Kluyveromyces lactis: one gene and its partners. The protein of the gene in region 1 binds, or shares a complex with, the protein of each later gene. Links are inferred from orthologs where the notes say so. Each region holds a gene or a part of one and is shown on either strand. Other genes may lie near its edges.

Region 1 (2,956 bases):
TAACTTAAATTTTGAATATTTACAAAGTGATTGCTGATTTTGTTTTCAAGCCCGTTCAACTTTGCACTGACACTAATCAATGTAGGATCGCTGGTGGTAATTGAAACTTTCTCGCATTCAGTGACAACTCGCCCGTTAAATGTCACACACCTAGCCAATAGATCGCTTGCTTGCGGAAGAGTGATTCTTTCAGTTGCTGAAAAACTGGATATCAAATTGTTTATCATAGATGTTTGTTCAACTTGCAAGCCTTCTTCCTTAAGGATCTCTGCGATTTTTCCATTTCTGTCTTGCTTCAGCCTGTCTCTGACTTTATCACTGAATGATAACCCAGTTTTCGAATCGATCTCACTCCAGGGTTTTTTAATGACTTTTGTCAAATTCCTAATGTCCAAGCAAATCTCGTTTTTGAATAGCACTAATTCCATATTGACCAAATGATGTGCTGATTCACAAATGTCATGAGATTCAGAGAAGTTGTCGTTTAAGAAGCTGTTGTTATTATGCGGAAAGACCAATTCTCGTGGAGGATTTTGTAATAATGTAATAGATTGTGTAAGTAACTCCAATATTTTCCCAATTTTATTGTGAAAAGTATGAATATCATCAAGTTTCATATCGTGTAATTCGGAAAGTTGCTGTAATTCGTCAAATAAGGACAATACGGATGATAAATTTGTAATTATGGCATTTATTTGAACTAAGGGAAATTGTTTATCAAGGTCCATCTTTAGAACTATTGGTTTACCCCTGCTAAAGTCTGGAAGCTTAATGATAGCCTGAAAATCCACTATAAATCCGGCCTGTCTAGTGATTGTCCCTTTAATCGATGTGCTGTCTGGCGCGGCACCTGATGTGTTAACGGAGACACTATTCCCATTGGTAAGAGGCATTCGAAATTTCTCAGGACTAGATAGTTGGTTTATGCATTTCTCAACATGGTCCATAACGTTAGGTAGCTCAGGCTTTATGATTTCTTTAATCAACCATGTCTGTTGTAACAAAGAGCTCTCCTCATATGTAGGAGCATTTTTATATGCCCCATCATTATATAATTCCGTAGTCATCTCGGATTTATGCAATTGAGAATTAATGTAGCAAAGCTCCCTTAGCGTGTAGATAGCAAGAGCCTTGCTAAGATGGGCGTTTTCCTTTGTCAACCTTTTTACTATTCTTTTGCCTTTTTCGTATGATGATTCTTCTGAATATTTCAAATTTAAACCTTTTCTTGAAGTTGATGCGACTCACCCACATATACTTTAACTAGAGATAAAGGAAGATCATTGAAAATTGTAAAGTGGTTGTAATTGAAATTGCTGGCGTGGATTAGGATCAAGGTTTACACAGATTCTAGATTTGACTCAATTGACGAGTTGTACTCCGGGACACAGCTTTTTATTATTAGGGAAAGTGTGCTATTAAACGCATCAGACGACGACCGCAAATGTTTACTGTAAGTAAGAAATCCTTACAAGCAAGTCGTAACGCTTTCAGTCCATTGAATAATAGCAAGAGAACAATCGTATTTACTGCAATAGCAGCTTTTGGAGACCTATTGATTGGGAAAGATGTTAGACTAGCAGATGCTATGGAGAAAGGGAATCTGCATAATAAAAATGGAGAGTATGAGCATAAGATGGAACAAAGGACTCAAGAAAGGTTAAATGCATTACGAAACACAAGACCGATAGAACCTAATTATGAGGGTCATGTTCCACTTTGGTGGTATGAGCGAATGATGCTCTTCGGTATCAGTGGTTTAAAATCTTATTTCCACCCGGAGAACGGTGAGAACATCGTTCAATTAGGAGAAGCTACTGCTCTACCTTGCTTTCTTGAAAGTTTAAAACGGACAATGTTGTTAGATAAGACTGGTAGAAGGATTCTACAAGACAGACCAAACATCACATCGGAAAGCCTTGACATGGAACGATTGTCAAAGATGGATAAAAATTCAGTTGGCTATACGTACTACAAATGGTTGATGAAAGAGGGGGTCTCTCCAGACACAAGGGCACCAGTTACTTATATCGATGATCCTGTCCATGCTTTCATATTTAAGAGATATAGACAATGCCATGACTTTTATCATGCAATAAATGACCTACCAATCATAATCGAAGGTGAGATTGCAGTTAAAGCATTTGAGGCATCAAACATTGGTGTCCCAATGGCTGCACTTGGTGCTCTATTAGCACCATTGAGATTAAAGAAAGTGCAAAAGGAAAGACTTTACTCCATCTACCTCCCATGGGCAGTCAAAGCAGGGCTGAATTGCAAACCTCTCATCAATGTCTATTGGGAAGAAATCTTGGATAAGGACATAGACGAACTAAGAAGAGAATTAAACGTCACACCACCTCCAGATTTGAGAAAAATTAGAAAGGAAAGAGCGAAACAAAGAAAACAGTTCAAGCTTAAGTATGAGACCTACGAGAAATGAATTTTAAACCCTCAATCCCCAAATCGTGATGGCTGGCGTAAAGTTGCTTTGTAAAGTATAATGCAGGGTCATTCTGTGGATATAGGAACCAGGAAAAAAGAAATAGAAATACGTACGTAATGAAATAAACGTCTTCAATTGAAGAGGAAAAAGATCGCCTTTGCTTGATCGATTAAAAAATATATCTATAGCTAACATCCTTGCTACGTACAGTACCACTGCCTACACTTTTATTTGCTAACGCGGTATGTTAAACAATTATGATCGAACTTCAGTACGATGTCCTCTTTCCCTCGGTGTGCTTTGCAGCCTTAAAACTGTTCTTTTTTCTTATCACTGCGTTTAGCGGCCAAGAAGAAGAAAAAAAAGAACAAAGTTAAAAACTATCCAATTTAAGACTTCTGACCAGGGCATCTCATCTCACCCCATAATAAAAGAGAAGCAGTGTCTTGTGAGGGTTTTAAGCGGAAGGGGAGGATAATCTGATATTGAACATACAAGAATCTGTTACTT
Region 2 (2,860 bases), on another chromosome or scaffold:
ATCAGAGACGAGACAGAAGAAGAACAGACTAGTGCTGAACCGATGATATCTTCAATGTTCAATTTATTACAGAAGCCTATGACTGATACGAAGACAAAAAAGGTACAGGATAACAAACTAGACGTAAGGCAAACCATTGTTCAGTCAATTCGTGATCTTATAGATGAAATTAAAAATATCGATGAAGGTATTCAACAAATAGCTATTGAATTGATTCATGATCGTGAAATCCTACTTACCCCTACTCCAGACTCTAAAACCGTTCTTCGTTTCCTTCTGAAGGCTAGAGAAGGTAATAATAGAAATTTTACTGTTTTAGTGACTGAAGGATTCCCTAACAACGCAACCGTGGCTCATGAATTCGCTAAAAAATTAAGTGAACATGACATTGAGACTATTGTAATCCCTGATTCAGCTGTATTTGCATTGATGTCGAGAGTGGGGAAGGTCATTATAGGAGCTAAAACCGTTTTCACTAACGGTGGAACGATATCTTCGACTGCTGGTGTCTCCTCTGTATGTGAGTGCGCAAGAGAGTTCAGAACACCTGTATTTGCCGTTGCTGGTCTTTATAAACTTTCTCCATTATACCCATTCGATGTTGAGAAGATGGTAGAAATTGGAGGATCTCAGAACGTATTGCCTACAACTGAGAATGATAGAGTAGGTACCGTTGCTTTAGAAACGATAAATCCAATTGCTGACTATATTCCCCCGGAAAACATCGATATTTATATCACCAATATTGGCGGCTTTGCCCCAAGTTTCATATATCGTGTGGTATGGGACAACTACAAACAAGAGGATGTAAACCTCGGGGAAAAAATATAACGATCCATGCATGTCTGAAATAGATTTAATTTAAGATACGATCTGTTCTAAGAAACTCAGCATTCATTGTTGCATATTTCTTATTGATGTATCTGGTAATTCAAACCTTAAACATCGATTCTTGTTCTTATAATACCGATGCCCTGTGCCTCGCTCGGTTGAATGTATCTGAAACTTTCAATCTTGAGCTGGATGGTTAATGTTTATTGTTCAATTATGAATTAACGAAACATTTATGACTAATGGGCCACATCGAGTTGACTTCTTTTGAGTACGAAAAGGCCCTATTTTGAAATCAATGACCTTGACCCGTAATTAGAAGTTCACACATTCTTAGATAGTTTACCAGTAGATGCCTAATTTGGCTCATAGCTTTTTGTTGAGAAACAAGGGATCCTCTTCTCAACCGCAGCAGTATTCAAAAATTATTTGAAGGATTGATCCAGGTTCCATTCTTGATAATCGATAGTGGAGTATCCGCTCCTTATTCTCGTATCCTCCTTGTAGTAAACTAAATTTAACTTGAGCCAGTGCAGTGATTGATGCGACCATCATGAACTCTGGTCACGTGACTTGGTTGTTCCTCTCCACAAATGCTTCTGCGAAGTTGAGATTTGCCGTTTCAAAGCTAAAATGATGGTCACTCCGCAACTGACAATGAATAAATGATGAGACGCATTGCTTTATCAAAAAGGGTCCTTTGTATACCGGAAGCCATTGATATGAGTCGCAAATTGATAGTACTTGGTGGTACTGGATTCTTGGGGAAACGTATCTGTGAAGCTGCTGTTGGAGCAAATTTCCAAGTAGTTTCACTATCGAGGTCGGGAAAGGCTACTTCATCTGAACCATGGGCAAATGAAGTTGAATGGAGATCTTGTGATATTTTTAATCCTGACACATATGCACCAGTACTTCGTAATGCCACTGATGTAGTTCACAGTCTAGGAATACTTTTGGAGAATGAGAATTACAAGAAACAAATCAATGGTTCGTTTTGGTCGGTACCGAAGTTATCGTTCGGAGGGTTTGGTAAGAACCCATTGGCACCAAAAAAACCTGAGAGATCGAGATTTACATACGACATGATGAACCGTTATAGTGCCACCTTACTTGCAGACACTTATATGAAGGTGAACGGTGGTCAAGCTCAGACTTTCAGTTACATTTCGGCTGACAGAGGATTCCCATCAATTCCAAGTGGATACATTGATTCTAAGAGACAGGCCGAAGAACACATTTCCCAATACGGGAAACAGATAAGGTCCATCATTTTAAGACCTGGGTTTATGTTTGACGAAAGAAACTCTGAATCGGATGGAAGAACGCAGATTCGTAATTTCTTGCAAATGTTGAACTGCGGTAATGAAATGGTACTTAGACAAAAGATACCGTTTGTCAACGACCTTGTGCGACCATTAATCTCTACACAGCAAGTAGCACACTCGTTAATATTAGCATTACAGGATCCCAACTGTGAAGGGGTATTGACCTTGGACGAAATGCTCAAGATGTAAGAGAATGTATCTTTTATTTAAAACGTGAGAAATAATATTACAAAAAGTACTTTATTAATGAAGAGTTATAATAAACATGCGATGAGATATATGTTCCTTTTCTAAAGAAACAAATGCAGTATTGGGAAGGAACCAGTCAAAAAGGGTATATAGACTAGGTGATATCACTTCAGAGGATCTCTCTCTTCGAAGTTTTCTTTTTCCAAATTTCGTTTAATTCATCCGGATCTCGTGGCTCTGTCATCGGGACGCAAACGTCCACTTCTCCTTGCAGCTTGACGAACCTTCTGTAAGATAAATCTCTAATCATCAGGCAAAGTAAAATGCCACTTAAGGCCACGAAGAATGCGCTAACTAACATCAACCAACTTGACCACGTGACGTGGGATGCAAACATTAAAACGTCAATAAGGAATCCCAAGAGGGAAACCATGAAAGTGACCATGGACCAGCCCACGGCGAAAAGTAACACACTCTTTGAAGTGTTTAACCATTTAATACATATTAGAATG
Region 3 (2,378 bases), on another chromosome or scaffold:
ATGAAGCTACTCCAGAGTTAAGGGTAGAAAAGATCTTTAGGCTTATGGATAAAGACAAAGATGGTTGTATTACGTTAGATGAATTTAGAGACGGATCGAAGGTCGATCCATCTATAGTAGGGGCATTGAATCTTTATGATGGATTGGTATGACCCTTGTGTAACCTGCTTCCATACAACTTACTTAGTGTAAGTTTTCAACGGTTGCACGGCAATTAGGCGGGGGCACTTTTTTTGGCTTGAAGTTGTTAGTCTTAAAGTCATATTCATACTGACTGTTTCTTTTAATGTGCTCTTTTTTGATAATGGAGCATGCGGTTCTCTTCCTGAAACATTGATTTACGTTAGTTTCCAACGTGTATGGGTGTAACTATATCATCAGTGTAATATATACGTTTGTATACGATACTATAATACTTCTCCAATCTGTATATATAAAACCAAATATGCCTTATCACGTATTCATCACGGTTCATTAGAAAGGGTTAGCGTACTGTCAGAAGGGCCAACCATTCACACACGTTCCGCTGCCCAAATCGCAACTCTGCAAACAGTCTTGATCCCCTCCGTCAAAAGAATGTATGGGACTGCCTTATGCGAATCGTAATCAATAGCTGTTTGCAAATGTTCCAATTCTTCGTCTCTGAATTGTTTGATAGTAGCTTGTAAATTTTTCAATTCTACAGTTTGTCCAACTTTAGTTCCATCTTCTGATTCCAATTCATATTGATTGTTGAGACAGCGAAGCTGGTCATTATAATGCCCCCCAATAACAGTTTCGACAGCTTCCGTGCATGCCATTGCCGCTTCTGGTGACAAGAAAGCTGTCCCAGAACCCATTGCGAATGCTCCAATTTTCCAAAGCGGTGTCAATAATGAAGGCCTCACACGCCTTTTCAGCTGTAAATTGTTGAATGTATCATGATGGTGAATCTCTTGATCCCACATATGTTGCAACACAGGGCGCAAATGTGGATATCTATTGGCAAGTACGAAGAATTGACCCGCATAAATGTAATTTGCTCCTAATTCACCAGCCTGGTCCACCCTAACCACCCTATCCAAATATGCTAGCTGAGCGTCTGACATTGGCTTGAATTTGGTCAATTCAGCAGACTCATTAGGTTCCGCTCTATGCTCCCCTGCATTGCTACTATTGCCCAAGGTAGATAAGACCGAAAACTGTCTTAGCGGGACGGCTCTCCTACAGCACGTACGAAGCATTCGCTAACTTGATACCAAAAGCCAATTGAAAGGGCGAAACTTTGAAGTGTAAGATAGCGATTAACCTGCCAAACTTTACCAACAAATACTTGTCCTGATGAAGAACTGCTTGTACAATTAAACCTTGAAGAGCAATACCCCAGCCATTTATATAGTATACCTTTATTCTATATCAAAGTTGTGCTTTTTCACCATGATCTGCTGATTGTCAGTATAAGGAAATATTATTGGGTTACCCGATTTTGCGCCAGTGGCTTGAAGAAATGCTGTCATCGAATCAGGTGCAAGAAGTAAAACCTAAACCTCTGGCAAGTGGAAGCTATTCGATGTGGATCCTAGTAGAGACAGTTTCCATTCCCAAACCCTTTAAAGGGGGTTTTGAAATGTAACCCAAGCGATTGATACCGGAAGTTCACCATCATATAGTTACTAGTTTAGCAACTATATACATTAGCTATATTACATTCAGTCACCGCGTGTGTAACCGTCGCAAAGTTCTAGGGACCTTTCTTGGAACAAGATTTAAAATAGTAGAGACGATTTAGTATATGAGTTGTGGAAAATAGCAACAATTTCGTGTCCAATATTGAACGGAACAATTTCTGTATCACGTCCATGGCCCAATGATTTCTGTTCACCATCAGTTTCCCAAACCAAATGATTGAATCTACGCACTTTCACATCGTTCACATACCACCATTTTATCTGGAATAAATGTGGGAAAGTGTACGAATCAGTATGTGTTTCCCAAATATTGGCGCGAGGATCATTTTCTATGAGATCCGAGCACATCTCTGCAATGCCACAGAATTTACCAGATTTGTTAACAGAAAATAATAAGAAAAGTTTAGCACCTGGTGCAAGACTATGGTATTCTCTCTCAAGTCTTCTGTTCCCTTTGCGTGTCGAAGACCATACACTATTTTGTAGTGCAAGTTTAACGTTTCTTTCGTTGAAAGACTTGATAACAAAAAATTTAGAACCATGTGGGATCCCATACACCGACTCACGGTTCTCTATTTTCGAATAATCAGTAGTGTACTCTTTCAGCGGCGATAAAGACTCCATTATGGTAGAAGCTGTGGAGAAAAAACCATCCATGTTTGACATTAGACTTTCTATGAAACTAGATCCGCCGCTTGTATCAAAGGATTC

What was found. The genes of interacting proteins can lie anywhere in the genome.
Region 2: COQ4 (region 1) and COQ11 share a complex: the UniProt entries of both Saccharomyces cerevisiae proteins name them as parts of the multi-subunit COQ enzyme complex. The link is inferred for Kluyveromyces lactis from reciprocal best matches to the Saccharomyces cerevisiae genes COQ4 and COQ11.
Region 3: COQ4 (region 1) and CAT5 share a complex: the UniProt entries of both Saccharomyces cerevisiae proteins name them as parts of the multi-subunit COQ enzyme complex. The link is inferred for Kluyveromyces lactis from reciprocal best matches to the Saccharomyces cerevisiae genes COQ4 and CAT5.

Annotation. Positions count from the first base shown.
Region 1 is NC_006040.1:1,586,890-1,589,845, forward strand, and holds COQ4 (ubiquinone biosynthesis protein COQ4), read left to right. Parts: upstream 1-1,444; coding exon 1,445-2,443; downstream 2,444-2,956. Other genes in the region: RAV2 (Rav2p), read right to left, coding at 1-1,067. UniProt on the Saccharomyces cerevisiae protein: Lyase that catalyzes the C1-decarboxylation of 4-hydroxy-3-methoxy-5-(all-trans-hexaprenyl)benzoic acid into 2-methoxy-6-(all-trans-hexaprenyl)phenol during ubiquinone biosynthesis.
Region 2 is NC_006037.1:400,433-403,292, reverse strand, and holds COQ11 (ubiquinone biosynthesis protein COQ11), read left to right. Parts: upstream 1-1,496; coding exon 1,497-2,348; downstream 2,349-2,860. Other genes in the region: KLLA0_A04433g (translation initiation factor eIF-2B subunit), read left to right, coding at 1-831; KLLA0_A04389g (SUR7/PalI family protein), read right to left, coding at 2,518-2,860. UniProt on the Saccharomyces cerevisiae protein: Component of MIOREX complexes, large expressome-like assemblies of ribosomes with factors involved in all the steps of post-transcriptional gene expression. Component of a multi-subunit COQ enzyme complex required for coenzyme Q biosynthesis.
Region 3 is NC_006041.1:223,668-226,045, forward strand, and holds CAT5 (putative monooxygenase CAT5), read right to left. Parts: upstream 1,224-2,378; coding exon 513-1,223; downstream 1-512. Other genes in the region: FRQ1 (frequenin), read left to right, coding at 1-152; PHO92 (mRNA-binding phosphate metabolism regulator), read right to left, coding at 1,746-2,378. UniProt on the Saccharomyces cerevisiae protein: Catalyzes the hydroxylation of 2-hexaprenyl-3-methyl-6-methoxy-1,4-benzoquinol (DMQH2) during ubiquinone biosynthesis.